Saccharomyces cerevisiae S288C: one gene and its partners. The protein of the gene in region 1 interacts with the protein of each later gene in a biochemical or structural test. Each region holds a gene or a part of one and is shown in the gene's direction. Other genes may lie near its edges.

Region 1 (4,120 bases):
ATTCAATTTCAGACACTTCTTCATTATACTGATCTATCTTAGTTTGCAATTGGTGGATATTGAGCTTCATTGCTTTCGATCTGTCTTTATCCAACTTTAAGTGTTCTACTGATTGCTTTAATAACTTGATATCCACGGACATGTCTTTCTTTATGGATTTTAAATTGTCTAGAGCCTTTGTAAATTTCATCGCTTGGAAAATTTCATCAAACTTCTTTTTAAGATTGGATGGTTCACTCAGTGGCCACAGGCTGTCTTCTTGGTGACAGAATATCACGTATTCCAAGATCGCTTTTGGAACTCCCAGATACAGGGGTACTTGTGCGTCTAATTCCAGAGACCGGGTGGACAAAGTACTGCGGTCACCACTATTATTTATAGCGACCAACTGGCCTTCTAAAGTCTTAAATGTAGTAGTAGTCTTTTTCATTAGCAACTGAATATTTCTGGTGACAATCATATTGAGTCCATTGGCACTCGTAAACGCCAGTTTGACCTGAGCTCTAATGTCCTTTTCACCAGTTATCTTCGGGTCATGAATGAATACTCCTCCCTTGCTGTTGGGCGGTAGATCACCTGTGGTAGCGTACTTTAAACATTCGATGATAGTCGTTTTACCTGAACCATTCATGCCGACTATTAAAGTCAGAGGCTTGCCAAATTCAATAGTTTCCCTATCATTGGAGTCAAAAGACCGTATGCCCTGAATAGATAATTTATAGATAGCGCTCATGCCTGCTTTCCGTCGTTCCCTTGTTTTTGCCTCTCAATGGTTGCTACCACTTCTTAGAATTAAAGATTTCCATTTAAAGATCAAAGCTTGAAAGCCGCTTTAGAAGCGATGAGGCAAGAACAAAGGCAACAAACAGGGACAAGATGAAAACCGGAACCTTATCTCAGATGAAGACAAACGAGGTGAAGGCATTTTTTTTTTTTGACTAAGTTAGATTAATATTTGCATTGTCATATGGGTGGGTTCTACTGCAGTTACTAGCGCACGAGACAAGGCAAAGCCGTGAAAGTATTGCAAGATGCATGGTTATTATTCTCCGAAAATAATAAGTGAAGGATTGTAACATTACCGCAAGTATTAGTATTGTAAGTGGAAGTACTATCGGTTTCTTGTTTCAATGAATAGCACCAGAAACGCAAAAAATCTACAATTAGTTTATGGTCGAAATGAGCTACTGCGCACGTATAGCGCATTGTTTCCTATTCTACTAAAGTCCGCAATACATAATTCTATCGAGTACTCAAAAACATTATGCTTTTGATGGCTTGTTAGATATCCTTATGACCACTAACCTGAAATTGAGCAAATTCATTGGAAAGTCGGCGGCAAAAATAAATGTTTCGTCTTTGGTGATTTATTGGTCATTACATACGGTACATTTTTGATTTTTTTTTTTGCCACCGGTCGGAGCGGAGGAGGTGAAAAAGAAAAAGTATAAAAGGGCAAGTGTTTCGTCCTTCCTCCATGTTCCATTCCTCGTTAGCATGACTCCCCGCTCCTTCCCTTTACGAGTTTCATGCTTTTAACATATCAAAAGTCAGTACTCGGCAACCTTATTGTATCGTTTTCGTATCGTATCGCATCGTATTATCGTATTGTACACAACTAACTCACCAATCAAGGCTCTTCTTACAATTAGTTACGTTACCGTATCCATTGCTACAACCTATAATTTCAAGCAAAAGAAAAATATACTATTGTCTATTTTTTTGTATTGTAGTTTTCTCTGATTACACATTTTTTCTAGTACTTTTCTCCAAGCACGAGTTACAGGAAAGGAACCGGAAAGCAACAAACATACTAAACATCCCATAATGCAGCAGGACGACGATTTTCAAAATTTTGTAGCTACCTTGGAATCATTCAAAGATTTGAAATCTGGTATTTCAGGTTCTCGTATTAAGAAACTAACCACTTACGCACTTGATCACATTGATATTGAATCGAAAATCATATCTTTGATAATAGACTACTCAAGACTTTGTCCCGATTCTCATAAATTAGGTTCTTTATATATCATCGATTCAATAGGTAGAGCTTACTTGGATGAAACAAGATCAAATTCAAACAGCAGCAGCAACAAACCCGGTACTTGTGCCCATGCCATAAACACGTTGGGCGAAGTAATTCAAGAACTGCTATCCGATGCTATTGCAAAAAGTAATCAAGACCACAAGGAAAAAATTCGTATGCTTTTAGACATTTGGGACAGGTCCGGCTTGTTTCAAAAGAGTTACTTGAACGCCATCAGGTCAAAATGCTTTGCTATGGACATATCGAATAACACCGCGAACACCGCTTCACAACAACTATCACTGGATCCCAAGCAGAGGTCGAAACAAATCTTGTCAAATCTAAAGAAAAGTCCTCCTTTAAACTTGAACATAAGTCTTCCAACTGATTTGACTTCCACAGATCCAGCCAAACAGCAAGCAGCTCTTTTCCAAGTAATAGCGGCTCTGCAGAAACATTTTAAAACTTTGCCTTCACATACATCCGTGGGTACAGTCGCACCTCCCCAAGCCCATACAATTACCGAATATGGTAGCAGACGTGAACGTGAACGTGAAAGAGAAAGATATAACTCAAGAAGGAATAGATCAAGATCTCCTCCGGCACCATTTTCTCAGCCATCGACAGGCAGGAAGGACCGCTATCCATCTGTGGCCCAGGACCAATACAGCATAGGCGCCCCCAATACGACATTTGGCACAAACAATCACCACTTATACCCCGATGAGCTTAATGTTTCCAATAATCCTCATTATAGACCAAAACCAGTAAGTTACGACTCTACATTGCCACCAGATCATATTAAAGTCTACAGCCGTACTCTTTTCATCGGTGGGGTACCACTAAACATGAAGGAATGGGACCTTGCTAACGTTTTAAAACCTTTTGCTGAAGTACAAAGCGTCATTCTGAATAACTCCAGAAAACACGCTTTTGTGAAAGTTTATTCAAGACATGAGGCCGAAAATGTTTTGCAAAACTTCAATAAAGATGGAGCCCTGCCATTGAGAACTAGGTGGGGAGTTGGTTTTGGTCCAAGAGATTGTTGTGACTATCAACACGGTTACAGTATTATTCCTATGCACAGGCTCACGGACGCTGATAAAAAATGGTCAGTAAGTGCGCAATGGGGTGGCACTTCTGGTCAACCTCTCGTTACCGGTATTGTTTTCGAAGAACCGGATATTATCGTTGGTGAAGGTGTTTCTTCCAAGGCAATATCTCAAAAGATGCCTACTGATTCTGGCAGAAATGGGCCACGTTCTGGTAAACCTAACAAATCTGGTAGCATATCGTCGATATCTCCAGTACCCTACGGCAATGCACCATTGGCATCTCCTCCACCACAGCAATATGTGCAACCTATGATGCAGCAACCGTATGGTTATGCCCCCAACCAACCATTACCTTCTCAGGGACCTGCCGCAGCGGCTCCCCCTGTACCTCAGCAACAATTTGACCCCACTGCTCAATTGAATTCTTTGATGAATATGCTTAACCAACAGCAGCAGCAACAACAACAAAGCTAAGATCTTTACTCCACCCTTTATTTGCTCATAGTACATAAAACTAATCTACCTCTATATATAATTTCTGTTTTTTCCTATGTTCCTTTTTTTTTTTTGTTAAATGGACATCCTTATGTATTCACATAACTACTGTGTTTCAAATGTAGCATTATCCTATTCTTTATTCTCTTTTTTTACCGTATTCCTGGTTTTTTTTCAAGGTTTAGATGAAAATGAAAATGAAAAAAAAAAAAGGAAAGAAAACAGTTAAACAATCAATAAACTTTATATTCTACGTAATCATAAGCGCTTATCCAGTACCATGAAGGTAAATTTAATGTTGAAAAGAGGGCTTGCTACTGCAACTGCAACTGCCAGTTCCGCTCCCCCCAAGATTAAAGTCGGAGTACTACTGTCAAGAATCCCTATAATTAAATCAGAATTAAATGAACTAGAGAAAAAATACTATGAGTACCAATCAGAACTAGAAAAGAGACTAATGTGGACGTTTCCGGCATATTTTTATTTCAAAAAGGGTACTGTAGCAGAACACAAATTTCTATCCCTGCAGAAAGGACCTATCTCC
Region 2 (4,728 bases), on another chromosome or scaffold:
CCAGCAGGCGTTCCGGTGGAAGGAGCATGCGAATGAGAATGTGCTAGTTCGGGACGTCTTAGTCCAAGGATCCCCGTAGCAGACGCGCTTCTTATCCATGATTTTGGAGAGTGTAACGACGGTGACCTCGAACTGCCTTTACCACCCTCTTGTTTCTGCCTACCACGCCCCCTTGTGTTTGCATTAACGTTCATAGTTGTCGAACTATTTGCGGTAAAATCAGATCGTTGAGGACGCAGCAAAGGCTTCCTCTTCGGTGGAAACCCCGAATCGTTCAAATCTTTGGCCATTTAGCGTACGATATACCTGTTGACACACACGAACAGTCTCTTTTCGCCCTTGCTAAGAGCTTCTTTCCATAATCACTATGCGGCTCTTCATTGCAATACTTTTATCATTATTAAAATAGCCTCTGAGAGCGGGTCACGGCCCGCTGAAGGGAAAGAACAATTTAAAGCCAGTTTTAAGTTCAATCCACCGATGGACGAGAGGCAAATAAGACGGATCAAAGACACCGAATCATTCTAGCACGATAATGTCGTTGAATATACATATCAAGTCAGGACAAGACAAGTGGGAAGTAAATGTGGCACCTGAAAGCACAGTGTTGCAATTCAAGGAGGCGATAAACAAAGCGAACGGTATCCCGGTGGCAAATCAGAGATTGATCTACTCGGGTAAGATTTTAAAGGACGACCAAACCGTGGAGTCATACCACATTCAAGACGGTCACAGCGTCCATCTGGTCAAGTCACAACCCAAACCACAAACCGCCAGTGCCGCTGGCGCAAATAACGCCACCGCCACCGGTGCAGCAGCTGGCACTGGCGCCACCCCGAACATGTCGTCAGGTCAAAGTGCAGGCTTCAATCCGCTGGCCGACTTGACCAGTGCCAGATACGCTGGATATTTGAATATGCCATCTGCAGACATGTTTGGCCCGGACGGTGGTGCATTAAACAACGACTCGAATAACCAAGACGAGCTGTTGAGGATGATGGAAAACCCCATCTTCCAATCGCAAATGAACGAGATGTTGAGTAACCCTCAGATGTTGGACTTTATGATCCAGTCCAACCCGCAATTGCAGGCCATGGGTCCACAAGCCAGGCAAATGCTACAAAGTCCCATGTTTAGACAGATGCTCACCAATCCTGATATGATTAGACAGAGCATGCAATTCGCAAGAATGATGGACCCTAATGCCGGTATGGGCTCTGCAGGTGGGGCTGCCTCTGCCTTCCCCGCTCCTGGTGGCGATGCTCCAGAGGAAGGCTCCAACACGAACACTACTTCCTCATCCAACACAGGGAACAACGCAGGGACTAATGCAGGTACCAACGCAGGCGCTAACACAGCTGCAAACCCATTTGCGTCTCTTCTGAACCCTGCATTAAACCCCTTTGCTAACGCGGGAAACGCTGCATCCACCGGGATGCCCGCCTTCGATCCTGCATTGCTAGCGTCTATGTTCCAACCCCCTGTACAAGCATCTCAAGCAGAAGACACCAGACCACCGGAAGAACGCTATGAACATCAATTAAGACAACTAAACGACATGGGCTTCTTCGATTTCGATAGAAACGTCGCAGCCCTCAGGAGAAGCGGTGGCTCCGTCCAAGGCGCTCTTGATTCACTACTGAACGGCGATGTTTAAATAAACGTCTAGATGCCGCAACCTATATACTTTTACCCTACTCTATCGGCATATATTTAATCTACGTATTACATGTATCCATCAATAATATCATCATAATATCTGGACACTTTTGGAAGACGCGCCCTTGCGAAAGAAAAAAAAAAATTTTCGTTTCACACCTACAGTAATAAACACATAATAACAACGAGCTAATCATCCCAATCAATCACCCCTTCCCCCTTTAATTAGCAGCCAGGGTACTGTATTTAGTCATATAGCGGTACTTGCATTGACCGCGAACGTGTAAACACAAGCAAAGCAGATTATGACCACACAAATAAGGTCTCCCCAAGGCTTGCCGTATCCGATTCAGATCGATAAACTCATTCCAAGCGTAGGTTCGTACCTTCATGAGGGTGATAGGTTGCTTGTCTATAAGTTCTGGTATTTGGTGGAAAGGGCCTCAGACACTGGTGACGATGATAACGAGCACGATGTTTCCCCCGGCGGCAGCGCCGGAAGTAATGGTGTCTCTCCGCCAACCAAACAACTGCGTGAATCCATAGAATTCTTCGAAAGTCCCTACGAGGGGGACTTGATTAGTTGGAATGTAGACGTAGGAGATGAAGTAGCCACTGCTAACCAAGTGATTTGCGAAATAAAAAGGCCATGTAACCATGACATCGTGTATGGCGGGCTATGTACTCAATGCGGGAAAGAAGTTTCTGCAGATGCCTTCGATGGTGTACCACTAGACGTTGTCGGGGACGTGGATTTACAGATTAGCGAGACAGAAGCCATTAGAACAGGCAAGGCATTGAAGGAGCATTTGCGACGGGATAAGAAACTTATCTTAGTGGTGGATTTAGATCAAACCATCATCCATTGTGGCGTGGACCCTACGATTGCAGAGTGGAAGAACGACCCCAATAATCCGAATTTTGAAACATTAAGAGACGTCAAGAGCTTTACGTTGGATGAGGAGTTAGTACTCCCACTTATGTACATGAATGACGATGGTTCTATGCTGAGACCGCCTCCCGTAAGAAAATGTTGGTACTACGTGAAGGTAAGGCCCGGTTTAAAGGAATTTTTCGCTAAAGTGGCGCCTCTTTTTGAAATGCATATCTACACAATGGCTACAAGGGCTTATGCCTTGCAAATTGCCAAAATCGTGGACCCTACGGGCGAATTGTTTGGCGATAGAATTCTGTCGCGTGATGAAAATGGGTCTCTAACAACTAAATCATTAGCTAAACTTTTCCCCACTGACCAGTCAATGGTTGTAGTTATTGACGACAGAGGTGATGTTTGGAATTGGTGTCCAAACTTGATCAAAGTTGTTCCTTATAACTTCTTCGTTGGTGTAGGTGACATTAATTCTAATTTCTTGCCCAAACAATCTACAGGAATGCTACAACTAGGGAGGAAGACAAGACAGAAGAGCCAAGAATCTCAGGAACTGCTGACGGATATTATGGATAACGAAAAAAAACTACAAGAAAAGATAGATAAAGAAGTTAAACGCCAAGAAGAAAAATTGAACCATCAACTGGCGACTGCTGAGGAGCCTCCTGCGAACGAATCCAAAGAAGAGTTGACCAAGAAACTAGAATATTCAGCATCTTTAGAAGTCCAACAACAAAATCGACCCTTGGCCAAACTACAAAAACACCTGCATGATCAAAAACTACTAGTTGATGACGATGATGAACTATACTACTTAATGGGTACGCTATCAAACATTCACAAAACTTATTATGATATGCTCTCACAACAAAATGAGCCAGAACCAAATCTGATGGAAATCATACCAAGTTTGAAGCAAAAAGTCTTCCAAAATTGCTATTTTGTTTTTTCAGGATTAATACCCCTCGGGACCGATATTCAAAGGTCGGACATAGTGATATGGACGAGTACATTTGGTGCCACTTCCACTCCAGATATAGATTACCTGACGACACATTTAATCACCAAGAACCCTAGCACTTATAAAGCGCGTCTAGCGAAAAAGTTCAACCCACAGATTAAAATTGTTCACCCAGATTGGATATTTGAGTGTTTGGTAAATTGGAAAAAGGTGGATGAAAAACCCTACACGTTAATCGTGGACAGCCCCATCTCCGACGAGGAATTACAAAACTTTCAAACACAATTACAAAAAAGACAAGAATATCTGGAGGAGACCCAGGAACAACAGCATATGTTGACATCACAAGAAAATCTAAATTTATTCGCTGCTGGTACTTCATGGTTAAACAATGACGACGATGAAGATATTCCGGACACAGCTAGCGACGACGACGAAGATGACGACCACGACGACGAAAGTGATGACGAAAACAACTCGGAAGGCATTGACAGAAAGAGGAGCATCGAGGACAATCATGATGATACATCACAAAAGAAGACCAAGGCGGAACCTTCTCAAGATGGTCCTGTACAACATAAAGGAGAAGGGGATGACAACGAAGACAGCGATTCGCAGTTGGAGGAAGAGTTGATGGATATGCTGGATGATTAGCAGCTCAGATGCCGTATCTTTCCACACATTTTCCTCATTGGTCTTTGTACCTATAATTGTTCATATTATATATACGTTTGTAACAAATCGATAAATAGCAACAATATTTTTGCTTATTTTGATATCCTGAAATCCTTTTTTTTTTTTTTTTTTTTTTTTTTTTTTTTTTGATTTCATTTCGTTTTTTTTTTTTGAACATTATATATTGTATTGTTTTCTCCCTGTAGCGAGAACTAATTGATTCTTTCTCCTTTCCCCCTAAATACTCAACAGTACTCTCGAGCCATTAGCTGCTGCAATTTCAAAAAATGTTGCAAGGAATTTTAGAAACCGTACCATCTGACTTGAAAGATCCGATATCATTATGGTTTAAGCAAGACCGCAACCCAAAAACTATAGAAGAGGTCACCGCTCTCTGCAAAAAATCCGACTGGAATGAGTTACACAAAAGATTTGATTCTAGAATTCAGTTTGGCACTGCTGGTTTAAGATCGCAAATGCAAGCTGGCTTTAGCAGGATGAATACTTTAGTAGTCATACAAGCGTCTCAGGGATTGGCAACTTA
Region 3 (4,637 bases), on another chromosome or scaffold:
ATTAGACTCGGAGCTCGTAGCCAATGCCGCCTTTATCATGAAAGGAACTACTACGGTGAACGCCAAATAATATAGTCTAAATTCCCATGTATTCCATAGCGGAGGAGATGGGCTATTAGAGCTGAGCACAGGGTTACGGGTAACAGTAACGGCACTAGAAGATGAACCATTCTCTTCTTTAGATGAATTGATAAATATCCTTTGTCGCCTTTTGAATTCAATGTCTGGCTTTATTCGTGAATCAAGTGCCTGCACGGAAAAGAAATGTACGATGCAACTCCAGATTCTTAACATCGACATCTGACTTGTAGCGATGACGTCAATTATTTTTGAGCCCTATAATAAGGTAGTTGAGAAGACAAATTTGAAGCACCCAAAAACCCTCAAAACAGTACCTACCTCAAAGCTAGCTTCTCTTTCTTCTTCTATTTGACTTCATTTTTTCCATATTCACCATTGGTACCTTCCATAAACAACTATAACGCAGTACAAATGAAAAAAGAAGAAAAAAAAAAGAAAAAAAAAGAGACCTAAACGCGCCAAGATTACAGGTAAACGAGTAGAACTTTGATCTATGTGCCTGAAAACCCCTCGGGCACAGGGTTCATAACGAAAAAAAAAAAATCGTAAGTAATGGTAACCATAGTAACCGATGCATGGGTTTTAAAAGTCACGTGCTTAAGTCCATTAAGACCGGAAACCTCTACACCAGTTCTCCTTCTGCAAGGGTTTTCTTTTTTTATTTTTTTTGATGGGATGGCTCTCTTTCCCCGTGTTTGTACTTTTGATATATATAGGATATTCATCAAAACAGCGTTTCGAACTCAGCGCTTGCACGATAACATAAGCACCTCGAGACACATTAGGAAAATTTAACATCCTATTTATTTATTGAATTTACAGGCACGGAAGGCCAATTAGTTTAATTCAGACACATATCATGAGAGCAGTCACTAGAAACAAAATAGTCAATAACCTATACTTTTCTACATTTCTCATTGCATTCGCATCAGTGGCCATCGGTTCTGTGCTGCCATGTCCAGCACATTCAGTGGATTCTGATTCACCAGCTGTACAGCAACACAAGCTTCAGCTTGCTCATGAGCAGGAGTTAAAGAGGAAGGATGCTTTAAGTAAAAAGATTTAAACAGGTACGGGCTATCTGGAACTTTTGATAAGTTGTATTCTATCTCTTTTATTTCCTCTTTTTATTTATTTTCGAGTGCCGTAATCTTCGCTACTTCAAGTTTCATAATCAATCGACTTTCTGTATGGGTAAGCATCTGGTGTGATGCAGTTTCATTATGACACCACAAATACAAAAGAGACTATTTAAATATGTATATAGATCACATTCCAAAAAAGAAAACCATTAATAATATCACTCTTTAATATTCCAAATTGAAACGAAAAAGCGCTATTCTTATTCGCTTCCTAACTACCGCCCTAGTTCGTGCTTGCATTTTTTTGTAGAACGATAAATTATGGTATCCCACGTGATTGAGTGTAACCCTGAATTGTTGAAGAGAAAATGAAGCGGAAGAAGCAAAGGACAAAAAACAATTCATTTGATTTTGCCACTTCTAAATGAAGGTCTAATAAAAGCTATCTTGAGCATCTTTATTAGATTCTGCACAGCAACAAGCGATTTTCTTTGGTCAAAATATAATAATTGACTTACGTTTTTCCCGGACTGTCCTTTCATAATATAATAACCATCTGCAAGCCATGTCAGATGAAAACCATAACAGTGATGTTCAAGATATTCCTTCACCTGAACTATCCGTCGATAGTAACTCTAACGAGAATGAATTGATGAATAACTCAAGCGCAGACGATGGAATCGAATTTGACGCCCCAGAGGAAGAAAGAGAAGCCGAAAGGGAGGAGGAAAATGAAGAACAACACGAACTGGAAGATGTGAACGATGAAGAGGAGGAAGATAAGGAGGAAAAAGGAGAGGAAAACGGGGAAGTAATAAACACAGAAGAAGAAGAAGAAGAAGAACATCAACAAAAAGGCGGAAATGATGATGACGATGATGATAATGAAGAGGAAGAAGAGGAAGAAGAGGATGATGACGATGATGATGATGACGACGATGATGATGAAGAAGAAGAAGAAGAAGAAGAAGAAGAAGGCAACGACAACAGTTCGGTAGGCTCAGATAGTGCCGCTGAAGACGGTGAGGATGAGGAAGACAAAAAGGATAAAACCAAAGATAAAGAGGTCGAACTTCGCCGTGAAACATTGGAAAAAGAACAAAAGGACGTAGATGAAGCTATAAAAAAAATAACTCGTGAAGAAAATGATAATACTCACTTTCCAACTAATATGGAAAATGTTAATTACGATCTTTTACAAAAGCAAGTCAAGTACATTATGGACAGTAACATGCTAAATTTGCCTCAGTTTCAACATTTACCTCAAGAAGAAAAGATGTCTGCGATTTTAGCAATGTTAAATTCAAATTCTGACACAGCTCTTTCCGTACCTCCTCATGATAGTACTATCTCAACAACAGCTAGCGCCTCAGCCACAAGCGGCGCAAGAAGCAATGATCAAAGAAAACCTCCATTGTCAGATGCCCAAAGACGTATGAGATTTCCTAGGGCGGATTTATCTAAGCCGATTACCGAAGAAGAACACGACCGTTATGCAGCCTATTTGCACGGTGAAAATAAAATCACCGAGATGCACAATATTCCTCCGAAGTCAAGATTATTCATTGGTAATTTGCCGCTAAAGAACGTTTCTAAGGAGGATTTATTTAGGATTTTCTCTCCATACGGTCATATCATGCAAATCAATATCAAAAATGCCTTTGGATTCATTCAGTTTGACAACCCTCAAAGCGTTAGAGATGCAATTGAATGCGAGTCTCAAGAAATGAACTTTGGCAAAAAGTTGATCCTGGAAGTTTCTAGCTCGAATGCTCGTCCTCAATTTGATCATGGTGATCACGGTACAAACAGTAGTTCTACTTTTATTTCTTCCGCAAAACGACCATTTCAAACTGAATCTGGTGACATGTACAATGACGACAATGGTGCTGGCTACAAGAAATCCAGAAGACACACCGTTTCTTGCAACATTTTCGTTAAAAGAACCGCAGATCGTACGTATGCCATTGAGGTTTTCAACAGGTTTAGGGACGGGACTGGTTTGGAAACTGATATGATTTTCTTGAAACCAAGAATGGAACTGGGAAAGCTTATCAATGATGCCGCATATAATGGGGTGTGGGGCGTTGTTTTAGTTAATAAAACACACAATGTAGATGTTCAAACTTTCTACAAAGGCTCACAAGGTGAAACGAAATTTGATGAATATATTAGCATATCCGCTGATGACGCAGTTGCCATTTTTAATAACATCAAAAACAACAGAAATAATTCTCGTCCTACTGATTACCGTGCTATGAGCCATCAGCAAAACATATATGGCGCTCCTCCTCTTCCTGTTCCAAACGGCCCAGCTGTCGGACCTCCTCCTCAAACAAACTATTACCAGGGTTACAGTATGCCTCCTCCACAACAACAACAGCAACAGCCATATGGTAATTATGGGATGCCACCACCATCCCATGACCAAGGATATGGTTCTCAACCTCCAATTCCAATGAATCAGAGCTACGGTCGCTACCAGACTTCTATTCCACCACCACCTCCACAACAACAAATTCCTCAAGGGTATGGTCGTTATCAGGCTGGTCCGCCTCCTCAACCACCTTCTCAAACTCCAATGGACCAGCAACAACTATTATCTGCCATTCAAAACCTTCCACCTAACGTTGTATCGAATTTGCTTTCAATGGCCCAACAACAGCAACAACAACCTCATGCTCAGCAGCAATTGGTTGGTTTAATACAATCAATGCAAGGCCAGGCTCCTCAACAACAGCAACAACAGTTGGGTGGATATTCCTCTATGAACTCATCCTCTCCCCCTCCTATGAGTACCAATTACAATGGTCAAAATATATCTGCAAAACCCTCTGCCCCACCAATGTCACACCAACCTCCGCCACCTCAACAACAACAACAACAACAACAACAGCAACAGCAACAGCAACAGCAACCTGCTGGCAATAATGTTCAAAGTCTATTAGATAGTTTAGCAAAACTACAAAAATAGACTCCCTTTTTTCAATCTTTTCCATTTCTTGTACATTATACTTGAATTCTTTTAATTGGACGAAAAATTTTTAAGGAAAGTAGATTGATATGGTTTGCATAAATTCGACATAGCGGTTTATGCTTTAATCGTTTTCCCTTCCCAAATTGGACTAGGACTTAATTCTTACTATTGCTGCATCTCTTTCAGAACGAAAAACTCTTTACCCTGTTATAAATTTCTTTTATTTCTTCCTTATCAAATGCTATTTGGTCTATTTATTTCACTTACACGCACCTCTTCATTTGTTTCCTCTGCCAAGAGAATGGCTTTTCATTTCTTTTTCTTCTCTTTAGTTAAATGTTCTTATATCAAAACTTTGTAAAATTGCTTTGTAAACAGATTATTAAGTACCGCTCTATTTACCCCATAACGAAAAGAAGTTCCGCGCTTAGGACACCTTTCCCTAGAGGTTCTTGTTTGATTTGTTTTAGTCATCTGCCTGTCGTTTATTTTAGTTT
Region 4 (3,044 bases), 500 kb from region 1:
CCCAGCAACGGAAAAGGTTCTAGAAAGAGTTCAAAAGCAGCCACACCTGATACTAAAAATTTCTTTCATGCAAAGAAAAAGGATCCGGTGAACCAAGATAAAGCAAATAATGCTTCTCAAATTACGCCAACAGTGCCACATTCTCATCCATCAGATATGGTTATCCCTGACCATTTAGCCGAATTGATTCCTGAGCTGTATTCTTTCCAACAACTGGTGGATTCCGAGAAAAGATTAGATCATTTTATTCATCTGCGAAACTTACATATGAAGCGAATGGTTGCGCAGTGGGAGAGGTCAAAGCTATCCCAAGAGTTTCTTTATCCTCATTTAAATTTTCCAAATGTAAAATTTCTCCGAATCTTCATTTCAAATGTTAGTGAAAACCAACCCTGGCAAATGGACACAAACAATGAGGCTGACCTTATGGCACTGGAGAATGCCACTTGGACGATGAGAATCGAAGGTCGATTATTGGACAATGTGCAAGCTAATGATCCAGCAAGAGAAAAATTTAGCTCATTCATAGAATCGATAGTGGTAGACTTCAAAAATAAGGAAAACGATAATGTGCCATCGACTAAATTTAATGCGGCCCCTGAAGAAAATGCCACCGAAGGACCCAGTGATAAGAAATTGAACTTAAACTTACCGTTACAATTTTCACTGCCGAATGGTGACAACTCTACTACGACTAATACCGACCAAAATAATGCCACGATGGGGGAGGAGACTGCCAAAAAGGATATGAGTTCTACAACTCCAAAACTAGAATCAGTGAAATGGCAGTATGACCCGAATAATCCTGTAGACTTCGATGGTCTCGATATTAAGAGGGTAGGGTCTGAAAATGTAGAATGCACTATAAGCATCCTGCGAAAATCATCCCCAGAAGAGCCATTTATGAGCTACTCTCCACAACTAACCGCAATAATAGGATTGAAGAGCGGTACATCACATGATGCAATATTTTCCATATATAAATACATCCATTTAAATGAATTGCTTACCAATGATGAGTCTGCATTCGAAAATTTGATGGGCAACAGGAACAATCACAATAGCAACACCAGTACTAGTAAGATGCTTGATGCAGCCTCCAGTCAAGTTTCTATTGTAAAATTAGACACTCAGCTTATTACCTTATTACCCAGCAGTCTTAAAGAATCTTCTCCAGATACAATGAAATTAACGGATTTACTGTCCCTTATTAATAGTACTCACCTGCTCCCATTACAGCCAATTGAAATTGATTACACAGTACGCGTTGATAAAGCTTCCACTTATGGTGAGTTGGTTCTTGATATTGAAGTACCTGATGTCAACGCTCTAAAATTCAATAATACACAAAGAGAAAGTCAAATTGGGGCTGCTGAATTGAATGAAAATGCCAGGGAATTGGAACAAATCAAACCCAAGATAGCTTTACAGGACAAAGAAATAACGTCCGTTCTCTCGAATCTACACGAGAGCAACAAACGATACCGTTTCTTCAAGAAAATTAGTGAGGACCCAGTTAAAGCATTAAATGAATGCATTGCTTCTACCTCGAATGCTTTGAAAGTTTTATCGGGAGATGAGGGCTATAATGAAGATATGGTAAGGCGGGCTAACTTTTACAAGGAAAATGAAGCTATGTTGCGCGAGAATATAGAAGTCATATTATCAAATGGACGAATGTAGGCTTCTTTACATTGATACACAATAGACTGAAGATTTATGTAGTTTTCTTTGTATATAAACTCTAGATAGGAAAAGAAAGGTCACCATTCATTTATAATAATTAAAGACGAACAGACAATGCTGATTTGTTTATAGCGCCTACAAGTAATGGCGGCTGTCTGATTCCATTGTCTCTTTCTAAGAAAAGCGCTGAAAATTTTCTACTGGAAATTTCAGAATATGAAAAAGTAGTAGAGATGAGGGCCACTTAAACACAATAAGCATATAAGGAACCAAGGGAAAAGCAACAAATGAGTGCTAACAATGGTGTCACTGGCAAACTCTCTAGTAGAGTCATGAATATGAAGTTTATGAAATTTGGTAAGACGGATGACGAAGAGAGTTCCAACTCCAATACGCCGTCTAATATCAACTCAGATGTGGAACCTATAGAGCAGAAAGGTAAACTCTTTGGTCTGGATGACTCAGCGTGGGACCTCAATAGCTACAAAGATGATTTAAAAAAAATTTCAGGTAAGGAGAAGAAAAAGGTGAAAAGAGTAGTATATAAGAAGCGACCCAATCTCATAATCTCCAACGTTGGTTACAGTGAACTGCGAAAACCTGAGGGTGTGATAAGTGGGAGAAAAACCTTTGGCGATAATTCTGATGATAGTGGTTCCAGGAAGAGAAAGTTTGATGAAGGCGAACAAAATGAAGACGAGAAAAGGGATGCTAAGGATAAGGAATTTACAGGGAGCCAAGACGATGGAGAGGATGAATATGACCTAGATAAATTATTTAAGGATAGCATCAAAAAGAAAAAGACCAACCATAATGGTAAAAATAAAAATAGAAATTCAAAAAAGTAGCGCAGACAATGCACCAGCAGAAGTACGTATTCGTATATAATAATGAGAACATAATATAAAGCATTGTGTAGTATTTTTTTCGTATTTGTCATAAACCATAAGGACTGCCGTCCTTTCTATTACGCTCAATTCCAAAACATATACAAAAACATGTAAATACACCACTTCTAATTTATCAGATAAATCTCTATCATCAATATCATTGAGATCGTTTTTGTATCTTTGCGTTTTTTTTCATAGCTTGAGTGTCGTCACTCTCCTTTTCGCTACTTCATTATTGCTACCTCATAACTTTCTCTCAAGCTCAAGCATCATCTATTTCTCGAAAAGTTGCGTTGGTGATCTCAAACTCTGCCCCTCCAGTATTAATAATGTTACTTTCAGTACATAAGACTTCAGTTCCATTCACAGAACTCGTCTCATGCACGCCATGCACTTTTATGGAATCTACGCTAGGTACAGATGTTTTTGTACCGTGGTTGCCAAACAAAGTTGTTTGATGTAAGTCTT

Evidence for each region.
Region 2: the proteins of NRD1 (region 1) and FCP1 are reported together in a solved structure, tested with the Saccharomyces cerevisiae proteins (one study listed by BioGRID).
Region 3: the proteins of NRD1 (region 1) and NAB3 form a complex in vitro, tested with the Saccharomyces cerevisiae proteins (4 studies listed by BioGRID).
Region 4: the proteins of NRD1 (region 1) and MPP6 are reported together in a solved structure, tested with the Saccharomyces cerevisiae proteins (one study listed by BioGRID).

Annotation. Positions count from the first base shown.
Region 1 is NC_001146.8:172,023-176,142, reverse strand, and holds NRD1 (Nrd1 complex RNA-binding subunit), read left to right. Parts: upstream 1-1,827; coding exon 1,828-3,555; downstream 3,556-4,120. Other genes in the region: RAD50 (MRX complex DNA-binding subunit), read right to left, coding at 1-733; mitochondrial 54S ribosomal protein mL46 MRPL17, read left to right, coding at 3,857-4,120. UniProt on the Saccharomyces cerevisiae protein: Plays a role in sequence-specific regulation of nuclear pre-mRNA abundance.
Region 2 is NC_001145.3:818,292-823,019, forward strand, and holds FCP1 (protein serine/threonine phosphatase), read left to right. Parts: upstream 1-1,964; coding exon 1,965-4,163; downstream 4,164-4,728. Other genes in the region: ubiquitin-ubiquitin ligase BUL1, read right to left, coding at 1-290; ubiquitin domain-containing protein DSK2, read left to right, coding at 536-1,657; phosphoribomutase PRM15, read left to right, coding at 4,472-4,728. UniProt on the Saccharomyces cerevisiae protein: Processively dephosphorylates 'Ser-2' and 'Ser-5' of the heptad repeats YSPTSPS in the C-terminal domain of the largest RNA polymerase II subunit (RPB1). This promotes the activity of RNA polymerase II.
Region 3 is NC_001148.4:184,817-189,453, reverse strand, and holds NAB3 (Nab3p), read left to right. Parts: upstream 1-1,728; coding exon 1,729-4,137; downstream 4,138-4,637. Other genes in the region: GUP2 (putative O-acyltransferase), read right to left, coding at 1-300; COA2 (Coa2p), read left to right, coding at 941-1,147. UniProt on the Saccharomyces cerevisiae protein: May be required for packaging pre-mRNAs into ribonucleoprotein structures amenable to efficient nuclear RNA processing. Binds to poly(A)+ RNA. Appears to act in the maintenance of CLN3 mRNA levels.
Region 4 is NC_001146.8:670,436-673,479, forward strand, and holds MPP6 (Mpp6p), read left to right. Parts: upstream 1-1,973; coding exon 1,974-2,534; downstream 2,535-3,044. Other genes in the region: SNF12 (Snf12p), read left to right, coding at 1-1,683; Sar family guanine nucleotide exchange factor SEC12, read right to left, coding at 2,839-3,044. UniProt on the Saccharomyces cerevisiae protein: RNA-binding protein that associates with the RNA exosome complex. Involved in surveillance of pre-rRNAs and pre-mRNAs, and the degradation of cryptic non-coding RNAs (ncRNA) derived from intergenic regions and the ribosomal DNA spacer heterochromatin.